Saccharomyces cerevisiae S288C: one gene and its partners. Changing the gene in region 2 together with the main gene of any one other region gives a genetic interaction. Each region holds a gene or a part of one and is shown on either strand. Other genes may lie near its edges. The genes, in order: APE3, FOB1, DNA2 and BRN1.

What was found.
Region 1: mutations in FOB1 (region 2) and APE3 together harm fitness more than expected from each alone (negative genetic interaction), as found in Saccharomyces cerevisiae (2 studies listed by BioGRID).
Region 3: of FOB1 (region 2) and DNA2, a mutation in one rescues a mutant of the other (synthetic rescue), as found in Saccharomyces cerevisiae (2 studies listed by BioGRID, with this or other methods).
Region 4: mutations in FOB1 (region 2) and BRN1 are lethal when combined (synthetic lethality), as found in Saccharomyces cerevisiae (2 studies listed by BioGRID, with this or other methods).

The regions. Positions count from the first base shown.
Region 1 is NC_001134.8:772,759-776,813, reverse strand, and holds APE3 (aminopeptidase Y), read right to left. Parts: upstream 2,115-4,055; coding exon 501-2,114; downstream 1-500. Other genes in the region: YBR287W (uncharacterized protein), read right to left, coding at 1-243; HAB1 (Hab1p), read right to left, coding at 2,458-2,892; YBR284W (metallo-dependent hydrolase superfamily protein), read right to left, coding at 3,182-4,055.
Region 2 is NC_001136.10:674,564-678,360, forward strand, and holds FOB1 (replication fork barrier binding protein FOB1), read left to right. Parts: upstream 1-1,538; coding exon 1,539-3,239; downstream 3,240-3,797. Other genes in the region: YDR109C (putative phosphotransferase), read right to left, coding at 1-1,104; alanine transaminase ALT2, read right to left, coding at 3,678-3,797.
Region 3 is NC_001140.6:424,081-430,777, reverse strand, and holds DNA2 (bifunctional ATP-dependent DNA helicase/ssDNA endodeoxyribonuclease DNA2), read left to right. Parts: upstream 1-1,599; coding exon 1,600-6,168; downstream 6,169-6,697. Other genes in the region: U4/U6-U5 snRNP complex subunit PRP8, read left to right, coding at 1-1,071; 6-phosphogluconolactonase SOL3, read right to left, coding at 6,305-6,697. UniProt on the Saccharomyces cerevisiae protein: Key enzyme involved in DNA replication and DNA repair.
Region 4 is NC_001134.8:39,037-43,652, reverse strand, and holds BRN1 (condensin subunit BRN1), read right to left. Parts: upstream 2,823-4,616; coding exon 558-2,822; downstream 1-557. Other genes in the region: MRX3 (Mrx3p), read right to left, coding at 1-376; BNA4 (kynurenine 3-monooxygenase), read right to left, coding at 3,126-4,508. UniProt on the Saccharomyces cerevisiae protein: Regulatory subunit of the condensin complex, a complex required for conversion of interphase chromatin into mitotic-like condense chromosomes.

The DNA of each region.
Region 1 (4,055 bases), on a different chromosome or scaffold from region 2:
AAAAAAAATAGGAATGATGGCTATTTCAAAGATTTTGGCCATGGACAGGGATTTGGCCAACTTACTAAAAATAAGACATGGTGTAAAAAGGTCCACGTTCAACAGAGAAATGATTTTTTGACTTTGTTTGGGCAGCAGACCAGAACTAGCGCTCCAAAAACCAGCGAGTGCGATAATGACTACCTGTAAAACGGACTCAAAGACCAAATAAGCCAAATGAGCAAAACTAAATGTTTCAACCATATAGTAGAAATGCAGAGTAATCTATGAGGGTATGGTTAGTTGGGAATAACAAACCAAAAACGGGCTTCACACATATTGTTCAATTTACAATAATTTCCTGTTTAAACTTTTATATCACAATTTCAGTTTTTTTTTCTACCTTTTTTTCACTTTGATAAGGAGGCTGTGATCCCCTTGATGCACGTGCAGTTAAAAAAAAGAGGGTTTTTATTTTCTTTTAGATAATTATACAGAAATACTTGATGTGAACAGTACACTTAAATAATCAAGAAGTCGGCCCTGTACTTAAATTGTGGTTGTTGAGCATTCAATATGTCCACCTCTTTGTGCTTTTGGGTTTCTCTTTTTGGGAAACCCTCGAAAGAGTCAGCATAGGTGGCCACAGAGTGAGCAATCAACTTGGTGTTGGTAATGAATGCGTCCCAGGATAAGTTAGAGACATCATCACATAATTGATGGTAGCATCTGTCTAAGACCTTTCCGTTGTTGACGTTATTCTTTTCGGCACCAGTGGCAATACCACCGGCTGGAATTCCGTTGTTGATAAACCCGACATAATCGGATCTACCGTCAAATGGGACCAAAGTGTAGTTCAAGTGATGAGCCTTGTAGTAGTCTACGTACAGGTTTTTCAACTCTTCAGACCCCTTAGGGTTCTCCTTGTTGTTCGCATCATAAATTTCGTATTCATAGTTTGGAGAAGCCATCATGTCATAGTCCATAAATACTCTGATCTTGGAGTTTTCTTCTTTGGTCAAGTTATAAGCGTAGAAGTTAGAGCCTAGCAAACCTTCTTCTTCAGCAGCCCACCATGCAAAACGGACCTTGTTATTGATCTTGAAATGGGTCAATTGCTTAGCGACGTTCAATAGGGAAATAGTACCGGAACCATCGTCGTTGATACCTGGGCCCTCCTCAACAGAGTCTGAATGAGCACCAAGGGCAACAATATTATCAGGATCACCGTGTTTTGTGTCGGCAATGATGTTCTGGGTCTTGATAAATTCTACATAAGAGTCCATGGCAAAATATAATGAATAATCGATGTTCAATGCAATATTGGCAATCAATTTTTTACCAACTTTATATGGAACACCGACGGTGGCGACAGTGTGCTTGGTAGGTTCGCCTAATGTACCGTGTAGTCCTTCTTTAGATTTAGGTTCGTTGTCGTAAATGACCACAGCGGTGAAACCGAACTTACCGGCCAAATTACTCTTATCGCCAAAAGGACACTTACCTCTTTCGATAAGGGCAATTTGCTTTTCGTTGTGTCTTGGTGGGACTACAGAGGCGTAATCCTTCTCTTCACATCCCAAGTTAGGAATTTCGACTAGCTTACCTACGAACCCGTCCACAGGTGGAGAAAGTGCGAAAGCTGTAGTGTTAGCAAAGCTTTTACCGGTTTCGGCGTCAGAGAGGTTGAAAGAGATGATCTTACCGGATAAAGCTTCGAACTCTTGCAAAGAAACATCATAGTAGTCCTGCATGTCATCGAAAACATTCAATATGTATTCCATAGTCTTGTTATGACCCTTGGACCCGATCACACGGGTAGGGTGACCGTAGTCAGGAGTAGAATAGTTAGCTAAACGGTAGAGGTCCCAAGCAGTAGCATTCAAATCGTCAACTTTGATTTTATCTTGCAATTTTTCACTTTCTACATGTGGTTTCATGAAGTAAGGAATATGTGGCTTCGGAATGTTGGCAGCAACGGCAGAGCTATCATCGTCGTTTAATTGCGGAAGATAATTCTCAATTGGCTCTTCTTGTTGAAAGGCTTCCTGGAAGAATTGAGGAATGACATAGGCAGAGCCTAAATTGGTAGCGTAAAACGCAGCGACAGCCAATTGCTTCAAAGAAAAGTGCATGGTTGGCGTTTCTGTTTTTTTTTTTTTTTTGGCTTCTTCTACCAATTGTTGAAAGGCTGAACATGGTTTTGTTCCCATCCATTGTTCCTCGCTTTTATATTGAAAAAAGAAAAATTTTCCTAAGGACCCCTTCTTCCTGAGGGTTAATTTAAGGGAATTCAAAGTGTGTCAATAGTAATTAATAGAACTAATCAATATATTCAGTATAACTTTTATTATTAATAGTATATGATATTACTTTTTGAACTATATATTTATGGAAGCACAAAAACATAGAGAACACTCTTTCTGACGATAAGAAAGGTGATTATATCAAGATATATAATGAAGCAGCTCAATTGTCTTATTTCTTGTATCTCAAGTAGCTCCTTCTAGTGCTACACTTTAGTATTCTGCTTTGTTTATCATCGAACCTATCAAATTCCACGGAATCCTCTGGTGAATATGTGTTCTGGTGCCGTGTTGAGTTATCGTTATCCAATTTGTGTTCATTGGCGACAAGGCCCTTTTTCAGCTCATTCAAATCTATGCAATGATTATTAACGCCTTTCTTATCAATGGCAACCTTACCCAAATTGTTTCTGTTTCTAGTCAGGATTGTAGCCATTTCTCTATCTGAAATGTCCGCCTCCATGCTATCGTCAGTGGGGCTTTCTAAGGATTTTATGTTTATGAAACCATTGTTTTCATTGCAATAGATTATTTCAATGGGGGAAGGCTCTTGCTTTTTAAAGGAGAATAGACTATCAAAATATGAGAACCTAGAAAATATGGTCATTGTCAACTATAAGCGAGCTTAGAGATTTCGAATTGTTATGTTATAAATGGAGTGATAAGACTCTTGTTTGAGGCTTGGGCTTTTTGATTTATATTAAATTAAGATATGTAAAAAAAAAAATAAATTAAAAAACGTGTGTTCTATTTACAGTATCTACTTACTTATTTGTTTATATATTCCATTAGTTTACTTATCTTTATCCTTAACCTTTTTTTTTTGTGTGTGTGGGGAAGGGCGGTACATAATATTAGCGTCACAATATGCGCCCCTCGAAGAAACATGAGCGAATTCACGCAATTATGAGTCGCCACTCCCCTGCGAGAGTGCTACTGCGATATTGACGTCTGATGATCGGAACGTTATGCTCTAAACTTGTATTTGGTTTACAATCATACCACTTGTCTACAAACCCAGTGTTTTCCACGAAGTAGTCATGGCTGGCTAAGGAAACGCCGAGCCATTTGTTCTTTAGGGTACTTGAAAATCCACTGGTTATGACACTGTTTCTTAGAAGTTCGCATAAATCTGCTGAATGTAAACGGTATATACTAGCCGCTACACTATACTCTTCTATAATGGGTTCTTTCGTATACGAATTGTTGTAGAGGATAGATTCTGAGCTCAGCGATATCTTGAACCCCATTTCAAAAAACTTCATGAAAGGGTTCTTCTTATAAGGCTTTGAGGGCTCTAGGACAAGCCCCGTCGGGGCTTGTTCTTGCAGCATTGTAGGCTTTGAATCTACTATGGAATTCAAAGGCGCCACAACCATGGGAATTTGACTTAGATAGAAAAGATACACCAGTGATGGTGGTGCATTCCAGAGATTTTCTGCATTTAGAAACCCTCCACAGGCGAGCAAGAAATTGTTTAAAATAGCTTCCGTATGTTCTGTGAAGTTCAGTGTATTACTAAACTGTGAAGTTCGATTCATTGAGGTGGGAGAACATGAACTTCTCAAAGTGAAGGTATTTTGATGAAGGGCTTGGCGGATATGGTTCAATTTTGTTAGGTTGACGTAGACGTAATACATATATTGTGAAATGGTTGGATTATCACCGCCAGATGTCCAATCTTTTGGCAAGCAACTAACTGCTGTGAAGTTTTTCCAAATATAGTTGTCCGTATCTTGAATACATAGATCAATCGAAGATACTTGAGAA
Region 2 (3,797 bases):
ATCTCTATAAGGCCCCCAAACGCCATGGACAAATATAGGGTTTTTTGATAACAAAATATGACACGTAGACGTACCGGCAACAGCTGCCAATCTGCCAATTGCACCATTGAAATCCTTTTTATAATTTTCGGTCTCGGCAAGACCTTTTACTGCTGATTCCGGCTTGGCGGCTACCGTCCCTACCCAGCCTGCATATGCATCAATAATTCCTGAACTTACTACACAATGCTCTGTCAAGCCTAATTGACAGGCAGCCTTTTTATCTAACGGGCTGATACATTCACCTGCGGTCAGAAAGTTTTTTTTTTCCCTTAACGATCCACCCAGTCTTTCAAAATCATTCTTCGTAAGCTCTGAAAGCCCAATTGAATTTAAGAATTCTTTGGACCAGCCTATATCGGAACCTTCGACACCCACTGGTAGAAATCCCTGCTTACAAACAGCAGAACAAAATGACCTATTCTCTTTTCCCGTGGCTTTGAAAGTCAAGTAATCCGGAAGGTCAAAAAACTTACAATCCTGAAAAATTCCAGCTTCTAAGTTGTTCTTCAACCACTTAATCTTCGGAATTTCCATTTCAACAGACATTTGCCCTCCCACATATTTTAAACATTTATCACCAGATGAGTTGATTTCTTCAGTCTCCTTCATCGCCCTATGGTCCATCCATAATATGATATTCTGGTCATTATTGGTAAAATCCGGTCCAACTGCAATTTCTTCAAAATTGGTAGCGGATACGACTACTAAGGAACAAGTCGCATCAAAACCAATTCCACGAACTCTTTCAGGGTCAACTCCTGATTCTTCAACAACAGTTCTAACACAATAGCAAACTGCATTCCAGATTTCTCTTGAAGACTGAGTAATAAAATTGGATATCAATTGTTCCCTTTTTATGGGTTTTTCTGCTAGCGACAACATGTTACCAGATTGATCGATAACACATGCCCTTGCAGAGCCTGTTCCGACATCTACACCAACGTAGAATTTTGCTTCTGGATCTTGTGGAGAAATGCGAGAAATCGAGGTTTCCTGTGACGACAATACCGCTGGCTCCCGTGTTTCATTTTGCATATTGTTTTGGCGTTTCCTGCTTTTCATATAGCCTTAATAATGTACTTTGCAGATGTTTGTTCCTTCGTCTCTTTACATCTTTTCATTGTACTCAGCGGTCTGGGTGTGCAGCTTTCCACATTTACTAATACTGGTCTGTAGCATTTAGTCAAACGGGTGTTATAAAGGTTCAATTTCTTCATCATACCTAACATTGTGATCGAGGTTTCCAGGAAGAGCTTATATATATCAAAACAAGAAACCCAGAGTATCTTTACCCCCACATTCAATATGAGGTGTCAGCCATAATTATTTACATGATAATACTGATATTTTTTCTTTTTCGCGATATATTGAAAAGAAAAAAAAATTGCGAGGTGATTCCTCATCGCATGTATTCATTTTAACGACATTGAATTAAGCCTTCAGGGGGGAGAACAATTTAACGATTGTGTGAGTGTGAATTTGTGCTGAGGATAACAATGACGAAACCGCGTTACAATGACGTGTTGTTTGATGATGATGACTCGGTACCATCAGAATCAGTTACGAGGAAATCGCAGAGAAGAAAGGCAACGTCACCTGGGGAATCAAGAGAGTCCTCAAAAGATCGTCTACTGATACTTCCCTCTATGGGGGAATCATATACTGAGTACGTAGACTCTTATTTGAACTTAGAATTATTGGAAAGGGGAGAAAGAGAAACACCAATCTTTCTTGAATCTCTGACAAGACAACTAACGCAGAAAATATATGAACTAATAAAAACAAAATCTTTAACTGCAGATACCTTGCAACAAATAAGTGATAAATACGATGGTGTAGTGGCAGAAAACAAGCTGTTATTTTTGCAAAGACAGTATTATGTTGATGATGAAGGAAATGTTAGAGATGGCCGAAATAATGATAAAATATACTGTGAGCCAAAGCATGTATACGACATGGTGATGGCAACACACTTGATGAATAAGCATCTTAGGGGTAAAACATTACATTCCTTTTTATTTTCTCATTTTGCCAATATTAGTCATGCCATCATCGATTGGGTCCAGCAATTTTGTTCAAAATGTAATAAAAAGGGCAAAATTAAACCATTGAAGGAATATAAACGTCCTGACATGTACGATAAACTACTACCAATGGAAAGGATACATATTGAGGTATTCGAACCCTTCAATGGAGAAGCTATTGAGGGAAAATATTCTTATGTCCTTTTATGCCGAGACTATCGCTCTAGTTTTATGTGGTTATTACCACTTAAGAGTACCAAATTCAAACATCTTATCCCAGTTGTTTCCTCACTTTTTTTAACATTTGCTAGGGTTCCAATTTTCGTAACATCAAGCACTTTAGATAAAGATGATCTTTATGATATTTGTGAAGAAATTGCATCAAAATACGGTCTCCGTATTGGCTTGGGTTTGAAGAGTTCTGCGAGATTTCATACTGGGGGTATACTGTGCATTCAGTATGCTCTAAATAGTTATAAGAAGGAATGTCTAGCCGATTGGGGTAAGTGCCTAAGATATGGCCCTTACAGATTCAACCGAAGGAGAAATAAGAGAACGAAACGTAAACCTGTGCAAGTACTACTTAGTGAAGTTCCAGGTCACAATGCCAAGTTTGAGACTAAGAGAGAAAGGGTTATAGAAAACACATATTCCCGTAATATGTTCAAGATGGCAGGTGGAAAAGGTCTTATATATTTGGAAGATGTCAATACTTTTGCCCTTGCTAATGAAGCGGATAATAGCTGTAACAATAATGGAATTCTTCATAATAACAATATAGGAAATGATAACTTTGAAGAAGAAGTGCAAAAACAATTTGATCTAACTGAAAAAAACTATATCGATGAGTATGATGATTTGGCACATGATTCTTCAGAGGGCGAATTTGAACCTAATACCTTAACTCCCGAAGAAAAGCCTCCTCATAATGTCGATGAGGACCGAATAGAGTCCACCGGCGTGGCAGCCCCAATGCAGGGAACAGAAGAGCCTGAAAAAGGGGATCAAAAAGAAAGTGACGGTGCATCACAAGTAGATCAAAGTGTCGAAATAACTAGACCAGAAACTTCCTACTATCAAACTCTGGAATCGCCGTCAACAAAACGACAGAAATTAGACCAACAGGGTAATGGAGATCAAACAAGAGACTTTGGCACATCAATGGAATTGTAATAATATGTAGGATAGAATGAAAGGAGGAGTCACCATAGGTGAAAAAAAAAAGCACCTATTGCATATAAAGTATTCAAAAAGGTGTTGAAAGCTCTTCCTGTATATGACCCTGTATTTAATGTACGCGGTTAAAAAATTTTTATATTTTTAAATAAGTATCAACTTGGATAATATGATCTTGCCCGCAAGGTGGTTTTATATGAATAATTACTTTTTTTTTTTTTTTTTTTTTTTTTTTTTTTTTTTAATTGAACAATAGATGCAGAGGAATGCTCCAAAATTTATTTCCTTGAACAATATTACAAGAGGCAGATATATACTTTTCCTTATTTCCCTTAGTAAAGAATGATGCATGTATACTATTACAAATTTAAACTTCACCCCCACCATGGATGCAAAACAAATAGAAAGCCATTATCATTAGTTTTTTTTTTTCATTCAATTACGATACTTGCTGAAGAAATCTTGATGAAATTCTTTCCAGTCTTGAATCCATTTAGTCCCTGGAGCCAAAAACGTTGTTCGCACATGATAAGTCCCGGGTCTTTGTCCGAACCC
Region 3 (6,697 bases), on a different chromosome or scaffold from region 2:
TTGATTTTGACTGAGTACGGCAGAAAATACAATGTCAATATATCTGCCTTAACTCAAACGGAAATTAAAGATATTATATTGGGTCAAAATATCAAGGCACCATCTGTGAAGAGACAAAAAATGGCTGAATTAGAAGCTGCCAGGTCAGAAAAGCAGAACGACGAAGAAGCTGCAGGTGCATCAACTGTTATGAAAACTAAAACTATCAATGCGCAAGGTGAGGAGATAGTTGTAGTAGCTTCCGCTGATTACGAAAGTCAAACGTTTAGTTCAAAGAATGAATGGAGAAAATCTGCAATTGCTAATACACTATTATATTTGAGGTTAAAAAACATTTATGTTTCGGCTGATGATTTCGTGGAGGAACAGAATGTTTACGTCCTTCCAAAAAATTTATTAAAGAAGTTTATTGAGATATCCGATGTGAAAATCCAGGTGGCGGCCTTTATTTATGGTATGTCAGCAAAAGATCATCCGAAGGTGAAAGAAATCAAGACTGTTGTGCTGGTACCTCAATTAGGCCACGTAGGATCCGTTCAGATAAGCAACATCCCTGACATCGGAGACCTTCCGGATACTGAAGGCCTTGAACTACTCGGTTGGATCCATACCCAGACAGAAGAACTTAAATTCATGGCTGCGTCTGAAGTAGCAACTCATTCTAAACTTTTTGCGGATAAGAAAAGAGACTGCATTGATATTTCAATTTTTTCCACCCCGGGATCAGTATCATTAAGCGCTTATAACCTGACCGACGAAGGTTACCAATGGGGTGAAGAAAATAAGGATATAATGAACGTGCTATCGGAAGGGTTTGAGCCTACTTTCAGCACGCATGCCCAATTACTTCTCTCTGACCGTATCACAGGTAATTTTATAATTCCATCTGGAAACGTTTGGAACTACACATTTATGGGAACAGCATTTAACCAAGAAGGTGACTACAATTTTAAATACGGCATTCCTTTGGAATTCTATAATGAGATGCATCGTCCAGTACACTTTTTACAGTTTAGCGAATTGGCGGGGGACGAAGAGTTAGAGGCCGAACAAATCGATGTATTTAGCTGAATATATTCCCCAATAAACTGGAATCTGTTATTTCATAGATATATATGTAAGTATAAGTTTGTATGTATAATATTCAACGCATTTTTTATGCCCGTCGTAGTTGCTACCTACCACACGATGATGTATTATAATTTCGGAACTACTTCAAAGCTACGCTTTCCGCACTATGAAAAGCTATAAGTATGTGAAAATTGGTCATTGACTGTGATTCTATTTCAAAAAGTAACCAAAGGAGATAGACATCGTTCGGACAGAAAATGGTCCGTTGTCACTCCCATTCCATTATGTCCTTCATATAGAAATTGGATATTCTTGTTTTCATTTCGCGCAATAAAGCAATTCCGTGCGGCAGAAAGAACTTATATATATTTAACTGATCTTACGCTATTTATGGCAAAACTTGTGTTACATTTTTGAAGATAAAGTTACAATCATTACGGCAGCCTCAAAACAAAATTGGGAGAAAACATACTCAAGTGAGTACTCATTTTGTGCAAGCAAACACTGACAATTGAAGAGATCGTCAGGATGCCCGGAACGCCACAGAAGAACAAGAGGTCTGCGAGTATATCTGTTTCACCTGCGAAGAAGACAGAGGAAAAAGAAATAATACAAAATGATTCAAAGGCGATATTATCTAAGCAAACTAAGAGGAAAAAAAAGTATGCTTTTGCTCCTATAAATAACTTAAATGGGAAGAACACCAAGGTATCCAATGCAAGTGTCCTAAAGTCAATAGCCGTTTCACAAGTACGAAATACATCAAGAACAAAAGATATAAACAAAGCAGTTAGCAAGAGCGTAAAGCAATTACCAAATTCACAAGTTAAACCGAAACGGGAAATGTCTAATTTGAGTAGGCATCACGATTTCACTCAAGACGAGGACGGCCCCATGGAAGAAGTAATATGGAAATATTCACCTTTACAACGAGATATGTCCGACAAAACAACAAGCGCTGCCGAATACTCTGATGACTACGAAGATGTCCAAAATCCCTCTTCTACACCTATAGTCCCTAATCGACTGAAAACTGTTCTTAGTTTCACAAATATCCAAGTACCCAACGCTGACGTAAATCAACTCATTCAAGAAAATGGAAATGAGCAAGTGCGTCCTAAACCAGCAGAAATATCTACCAGGGAGTCTCTCCGTAATATAGATGATATTCTCGATGATATAGAGGGCGATTTAACTATAAAACCGACGATAACGAAATTCAGCGATTTGCCATCTTCACCCATCAAGGCACCCAACGTTGAAAAAAAAGCAGAGGTGAATGCAGAAGAAGTAGATAAAATGGATTCAACAGGAGATAGCAACGATGGCGATGACTCTTTGATAGATATTTTAACTCAAAAGTATGTTGAGAAACGCAAGAGTGAGAGTCAGATAACAATTCAAGGCAACACCAATCAAAAAAGTGGAGCCCAGGAAAGTTGTGGGAAGAATGATAACACAAAATCGAGAGGAGAAATTGAAGATCATGAAAATGTAGACAATCAAGCCAAAACAGGCAATGCATTTTATGAGAATGAAGAAGACAGTAATTGCCAAAGAATTAAAAAAAATGAAAAAATAGAATACAATTCTTCAGACGAATTTTCAGACGATTCACTAATTGAACTATTGAACGAAACTCAAACACAAGTGGAACCTAACACTATTGAACAAGATTTAGACAAAGTGGAGAAAATGGTCTCTGACGATTTGAGAATTGCTACTGATTCCACTTTATCCGCATATGCTCTCAGAGCTAAGTCTGGTGCTCCAAGAGACGGCGTAGTACGATTAGTAATAGTAAGCTTACGTAGTGTTGAATTGCCAAAAATTGGAACGCAAAAAATACTAGAGTGTATAGACGGCAAAGGCGAACAAAGTTCTGTTGTCGTTCGACATCCTTGGGTATATTTGGAATTTGAGGTTGGGGATGTAATACATATTATAGAAGGGAAAAATATTGAAAACAAACGGCTTCTTTCTGACGACAAAAACCCTAAAACTCAACTGGCTAACGACAACCTGTTGGTGCTAAACCCTGATGTATTATTTTCGGCAACATCAGTCGGAAGTTCAGTAGGTTGTTTAAGACGTTCAATTCTGCAAATGCAATTTCAAGATCCCCGCGGAGAACCAAGCCTTGTCATGACTTTAGGCAATATCGTACACGAGTTATTGCAAGACTCAATCAAATACAAGCTCTCGCATAATAAAATTTCTATGGAAATCATAATACAAAAGCTGGATTCTTTGTTAGAAACTTATTCTTTTTCAATTATCATTTGTAATGAAGAAATCCAGTACGTTAAAGAATTAGTTATGAAAGAACATGCTGAAAACATTTTGTACTTCGTCAATAAATTTGTTTCGAAAAGTAACTATGGTTGCTACACATCAATTTCCGGAACAAGAAGAACACAGCCAATTTCTATATCCAATGTGATTGATATTGAAGAAAACATTTGGTCTCCAATATATGGTCTTAAAGGGTTCCTAGATGCAACTGTTGAAGCTAATGTTGAAAACAATAAAAAACACATCGTTCCTTTAGAAGTGAAAACTGGAAAATCCAGAAGCGTTTCATACGAGGTTCAAGGCCTTATTTATACACTTCTGTTAAATGATCGCTATGAGATACCGATAGAGTTTTTTCTTCTTTATTTTACGAGGGATAAAAATATGACAAAGTTCCCTTCTGTTCTGCACTCCATTAAACATATTCTCATGTCCCGAAATAGAATGAGTATGAATTTTAAGCATCAACTCCAAGAGGTTTTCGGACAGGCTCAATCAAGGTTTGAATTACCACCCTTACTGCGCGATTCATCTTGTGATTCATGTTTCATCAAAGAATCATGCATGGTGTTGAATAAGCTACTAGAGGACGGGACACCAGAAGAAAGTGGCCTGGTAGAAGGTGAGTTTGAAATTTTGACAAACCATTTGTCGCAAAATCTCGCCAACTACAAAGAGTTTTTTACAAAATATAATGATCTAATAACTAAGGAGGAGTCAAGTATAACATGTGTAAATAAAGAACTTTTCTTATTGGATGGTTCCACAAGAGAATCCAGAAGTGGAAGGTGCCTTTCTGGCTTGGTTGTGTCAGAGGTGGTTGAACATGAAAAAACAGAGGGAGCGTATATATATTGCTTCTCAAGACGTAGAAATGATAATAACTCGCAGTCGATGTTATCATCTCAAATTGCTGCTAATGACTTTGTTATTATTAGTGATGAGGAGGGTCATTTTTGCTTGTGCCAAGGTCGTGTACAATTTATAAATCCCGCTAAAATTGGTATCTCCGTAAAACGAAAGTTATTAAACAATAGGCTTCTAGATAAGGAAAAAGGAGTCACTACCATCCAAAGTGTGGTCGAATCAGAGCTAGAACAATCCAGTCTCATAGCTACCCAAAATTTGGTCACATATAGAATCGACAAAAATGATATCCAACAGAGTTTGTCTTTAGCGCGATTTAATCTTTTAAGCTTGTTTTTACCAGCTGTTTCACCTGGCGTGGATATTGTTGACGAAAGGAGTAAATTATGTCGGAAGACAAAGAGATCTGATGGAGGTAATGAAATACTGCGATCACTTTTAGTTGATAATAGAGCACCTAAGTTTAGAGATGCAAATGATGATCCCGTCATTCCGTATAAGCTTTCAAAGGATACAACATTGAACTTGAATCAAAAAGAAGCAATAGACAAAGTAATGAGGGCCGAAGATTATGCATTGATATTGGGAATGCCAGGGACTGGTAAGACTACTGTTATCGCAGAAATTATTAAAATTCTCGTTTCCGAGGGGAAACGCGTGCTTTTGACATCATACACACATTCAGCAGTGGATAATATTTTAATAAAATTGAGGAACACCAACATTAGCATAATGAGATTGGGAATGAAACATAAGGTCCATCCTGACACGCAAAAATATGTCCCGAATTACGCGTCAGTGAAAAGTTATAACGATTATTTGTCCAAAATTAACAGCACCTCTGTTGTTGCTACCACCTGCTTAGGAATTAACGATATACTATTTACACTAAATGAAAAGGATTTTGATTATGTGATTTTGGACGAGGCAAGTCAAATTTCAATGCCTGTCGCTTTGGGACCTCTGCGGTATGGAAATAGGTTTATTATGGTAGGAGATCATTACCAGCTACCGCCATTAGTTAAAAATGACGCAGCTCGATTAGGTGGGTTAGAAGAGTCACTGTTCAAGACTTTCTGTGAAAAGCATCCGGAAAGCGTTGCAGAACTGACTTTACAGTACCGTATGTGCGGCGATATTGTAACTTTGTCTAATTTCCTAATTTATGATAATAAATTAAAATGCGGGAATAACGAAGTTTTTGCTCAATCTTTAGAGTTACCAATGCCTGAGGCCTTGTCGCGCTATAGGAATGAATCGGCTAACTCTAAGCAGTGGCTTGAGGATATACTAGAGCCTACAAGAAAAGTGGTATTTTTAAATTACGATAACTGCCCGGATATTATCGAACAAAGCGAAAAGGATAACATTACGAATCACGGGGAGGCAGAATTGACTCTACAATGTGTGGAAGGAATGTTATTGAGCGGCGTACCATGCGAAGATATTGGTGTAATGACGTTATACAGAGCACAGTTAAGATTACTGAAGAAGATATTCAACAAAAATGTGTATGACGGGCTAGAGATCTTGACTGCTGATCAGTTTCAAGGTCGTGACAAAAAGTGCATTATTATTTCCATGGTTAGAAGAAATTCTCAATTAAATGGAGGAGCGCTGCTGAAAGAGCTAAGAAGAGTCAATGTTGCCATGACAAGGGCCAAATCCAAGCTGATCATTATAGGTTCAAAAAGTACAATCGGCTCTGTTCCTGAAATAAAATCGTTCGTGAACCTGTTAGAAGAGCGTAATTGGGTCTATACAATGTGCAAGGATGCACTCTACAAATACAAATTTCCCGACAGATCAAACGCTATTGATGAGGCACGCAAAGGTTGTGGAAAAAGAACAGGTGCCAAACCCATCACATCAAAGTCTAAATTCGTAAGCGATAAACCTATCATAAAGGAAATTCTACAAGAGTATGAAAGTTGACAGGGGGAATAAGAAGAGCTTCTCCATAACAGGAAAGCTATCACAGCATAAAATATCTATGTCATTTTATAAAGTTTGGTATATATAACACGTAATATTAGCATCTGAGGTTCGAAAGCTCGCATGTGTGTCTTTTCTAAAAAGTTTTCGTTTGAACTTTTCCAAAAGCTTCCTCATTAACGAACCAGGATGTTTTTTCACCAAATAATTTGTTAACCAATGCGGTTGGCAATTGATCGTTTTTCAAGTCAAAGATCTCATGCATTATATTTTGTTTGGAACTGCCCTCAGCCACAAAACACAGGGCTTTGGCGTCTTTCAACACAGGCAGAGTGAAGGTGATTCTGTCACTTGGAGGCTTGGGAGAATCGTGGCACCAAGCAACTCTTTTGGTTGTTTCGTTCAGCAAGTACCTATGTGTTTCTCCAGGGAATAAGGAACAAGTGTGTCCATCAGGACCACAGCCCAACAGTACCAAATCAAGCACTTGAGGTACGATACGCTCGTACTCTGCAGCAATTTTGTTGTT
Region 4 (4,616 bases), on a different chromosome or scaffold from region 2:
CATGGAACACCAAAGGATCAATTTCAAGCTTCCCCTTGCCGAACAAGAGGCCTTGTCCTACATGATATTCCCTATGCCCGCTTGGTATTTTCTCACTGAATAAGACATGGTGCATCTTCTCATCCTGGGCCAACTTGTTGTAAACCTCGCTTTTCTCGATTTGAGCGAGGATGTCAACCCTCTGCAGCTCCATAGGTTGGCGGCTCTTGGTCGCACTAATCAACTCCGCTGGCGTTTGCGGATCATTCAATGATAGAACACCGGCATCATCGGGCCACGCCTTTACAAACGCACCAACTCCTAATGTAAAACCTGCCGTAGGCAAAATTACTGCCCTGTTGACTAATTTAAATAGAAATGGAATAGTTCTGGACATATTGGAACTCACCCTCGATCTATCCTGTCATTTGGTCATTGTCTATAAAAATAAATACCTTGTTTTATATCCACTTTTCGAAGCGGTCCCCTTTCGGCGATAAAGGATTTCGTAAGCCCGAAGGCTTTAAGAAACTTTGCAGCACAAAAAAAAAAAAAAAAAAAAAAAAAAAGATCATCAACTATGACGCTGCCTGTGTTGTCGCTAGATCCTCATAATTCACTATCAAGTCATTATAGTTTTCGGTATGAGTTATCTGCAACCCATGCTCATTGGCTAAGTGTAGAAGGCATATAAAACAAAAGCTTGTTGAAATGTCCTTTAGTGTATCATCCGAATACATTTTACTTATACCCTGAATGATATCAGAAAACTTGAGCTCCTTTGTTGATTCATCTTCTGTGTGGGTTTCACTGTCATTAGAGCTTTGTTCTCTATTTTTCCTACTGTCATGTTCTTGTATCAAATTGTTGATCGATCTCCATACGTTTTTCTTTAATCTTCTTACGTCAACTTTTTTCGAAACTCTTGAATAAGTAACTTTATTTTCTCGAATGGGGAACTTATGATCTTCGTCATCCTGTAAATCAAGTTTCACACTGGCCTCCTCGTTATCATCTGTTCCTTCGAAAGCTTGGTTGAAGTCAACACCGTCCATGTCATCTTCAAACGGATTATCGAGCGCTCCACCCACCACATCACCAACCTCTTTAGACTGCTCCTTTTCTTTTTCCTCTTGTTCTTTCCTTTCGTAATTATCCGCCCAAAAGTGCTCATCTGCAATAGTAGGAATGTCGTTATTTGAATGGTTGGCAGAAACTGTGCTTTTTTCAAAAAGCCCCGAACTAACGTCGCCTCTGGTATGCTTCCTATGACTGAACAGACTCATTTTCTGCCCCGGTTTAATGAACAATCTTGTTATTCTATCAGTGGAAAAATGGAAGTCATCCGGCAGTAAATAATGTGTGTCGTTCTTTCTGTTCTTAATCGGCATGTCAATCTTTGTCCTTCCTTTTGAGGCAAAGACTTTGTCTTCAAAACTATCATCCGTTTTGAAGAAATCAATTTCCAGAACCTTTTTTTGTTTATGCTTCTTCTTCGTATCCATCGATTTGTCGTCCGTTGTGTTTTTGTCAGTAGTATCTCCTATAGTAGTTCGCGTTTCTTCCAACAGGTCGGATTCTTTATTCACTAAGTTTGCTTTCTTAAAATTTCGTACTTTCCAATGTTCTCTCCCTCTCCAGTTTCTATTTAGATTTTCGTCAAAGTATGCCATCAAATCTTTTTCGAATATACTTCCTGTGGTACTGTTGACATTATCATCATCTTGTTCATCATGTGATGTATTGTCATGATTTTCATCTGGATAGCACAGCTCCTGTTGCATGCCCATATCAAAGCCATCGCTATCATCTTCTGCATTATCTGGGACAGCTGCTTGCAATTCTTCTTCAGTTAAGAAGTTATCAAATCTGTTGTTAACATTTTCGATAAAGTCTTTCGCTTGATTAATATCTTCGACAACGTTCCTTAGTTGCTCAATCGATCCTGAAATTTCACACACCGCAATTTGATCAAATTTTATAAAATCCATACCAAGAGATAAAATCTCATCTTCCATGGAAGGTGCACTAATAACGGAATCATTTACGGTTGAGTCATTACGAGTACTTATCAATGACTGGCTAGGTTCATTTTCGTCATCTACTAAACTATCTCTTTCAATTAATTCTTCTTCTTTCCTTTGAAGTTTACCTTGCCCTACGTTTTGTGTATCCTTAATTGATGCATCGAAAATGACTCTTGCAGTGTTGTCTATGTTTAATGTGTTCAACAATAAACTCTTGGCGCCACCTTCATCGAAATCAACCAAGGCCTTTTTGAATAATGGATCAATTATTAATTCCTGGTCTAGCTCTTTCATCTTGATCGTTTCGAACTCCACCAATGTTGTTTCTAAAACTCTGTTGTACACTCTCCGCCTAGTGTTATTCACATCAGGATCATTAGATATAGGCATACCAGTTAAGGGATCAATCTCTATATTTGCTTCGTCACTGTCACCTCCAAGCCCTTCACCATTTCCCCCGTTACTGTCATCTCCGTTAGATGCCCCATTCGTCTTTCTTTGTGCCAACCCGCTCAATAACTTACCTGTTTCCGTTGTCACTGAATCAACTCTCGAAGAGTAAATCTTAATACACCCATCCAAGGTTGCAGATGCTTTCTGAAAATTGATGTTATTCTCGCCATCTTTCAAAACGTCCAAGTCATAAAAATAGTCGATCAATGCGAAATTCCAACTATTTCGGGAATTGATTTTATTATCTGTAGCCATTTTGATCCATTCTTCAAAATTTGCCATCATGGTGGATCTATTGGTAAAGAGATTATATTCTACTCTTTCATCGTCATCGTTATTTTCATACCTTAGTTGTGTAGTCATCTTATATAACTACCTGCTGGTTTTTTTTGCTCCAAAAAGTCCACTAAGATGATTTTTTGGTGCAATAAATAGAGTATTTAACTAGCCAATATAAAAAGTTCAACCATATGGATATTATCTTGACAATACTTCACTAAAATGTAAACAAAGAAAGCGCGAACAGAGCCGTTTACCGTTTCGCGTGATCAACATCACATAAAATAATTAGTGTATTATATATATATATATATATATATATATGTATATATCACTTATTTTAATAATCCTCTCCTAGCGTACACGGATGGCAAGAATAAACTGGCTTCAGGAACGTTCTCTTGTCAAAAATTTGAAAAGCTTGTAACCGCCAATAGATAACATACCGAGTGTCAGAGATTCTAAGAATTTCAAGATACGTGTTTGCTTTCCAGCCCTTTCTAAAGCTCTAGAATACGAGATATCGGATCTGAAAGATATCATTGTATACAAAGGTATCCACTTATCCTTCATTATAATACTAAAGAGAGCATCTAGCTTTTTCCTTAATAAAAACCGCTTGGATGTAACGTCATGTGACATTTCTTTATAGTTCCTTTTTGCCAGCTCAGTAATAGAAACTAGGTCCTTATGTCTTGTTTGAGTGTACTCAGTAAAGGCTCTTGAACGATCTCCTGAATGCTTTTTCAATAGCGCCATAAGAATTCTCACATCTTCAAATCCGCAATTCATACCTTGGCCGTAAAATGGAACCATTGCATGGGCAGCGTCGCCGAGTAGGATGGCCTTTCCGCCTGGTACATCGTATGGCTTACAGTTTACACAGACAAGACTTTCCTTTGGATAAGTGATAAACCTTTTGACAGCATCGTCCAAATCCATAATATTAATAATATCGGGAAAGTTCTCGATTAAGAATTCCCTCACACGTGACTTGGAAGTTATCAGATCTGATATTTGATCTTTAGAACCGAAAAAGGTTGAAGTGAACGAGCCGTCACTGTTGGCGAGCGCAATTAACATGAATTTATGACGAGGCCAAATGTGCAAATGGTCAGGAGCTATTGCAAAATTTCCGCCATAGTTTGGCTTGAATTCCTCAGTAGGCGGGATGTAAAGTTCAATGTAACGTAAATTCATATATTCTTGTGAAAAATCCATCTCAACTTTACGTTGCATTTGCGATCTCGTCGCAGAGTATGCTCCGTCACAACCTATGACAAAATCATACTTTTCAGTATGTGGGGTTTTCAAATCTTCCCCAATGGCAAAATGACAGATTTGTTTATCATCTGTCCATTCGATTTTGACTAATTTGTGACCGAACTTCAGTTCTGTTGTAGATTTTTCTAATTCGTCCAAAAGGCTATTATTTAATACAGATCTATTGATAGAATTAATAGCTTCTCCATGCAAGCCATACAATTGTGATTCCTGTCTGCCTTTCAAGTCATGAATCATCCTGCCTTTCATGGGAATCATATCTTGCAGAATATGTTCACAAGCATCCGGATCTATTGATTTCAGAGCATCAATGCCACGAGCAGAAATAGCCAAATTAATGGATTTCAAATTTTTATTTTTGGTGGTGTCCAATCGAGGATCTTGTCTAAAATCATATAGTGTGACATTGTAGCCTTCTTTGGAGAATGCCAAAGCTGCAAGGCAGCCTACTAATCCTGCACCTATAATGGCCACTGATTCAGACATATTTTCAAGTTAAACAGATTAACTGACTACGTGATTTTTTAACTGTCATTCAATATTTTATTATTAAAAACAACGTCCGTGCCAGAAATTCGGGCCTTTTATAAGAAA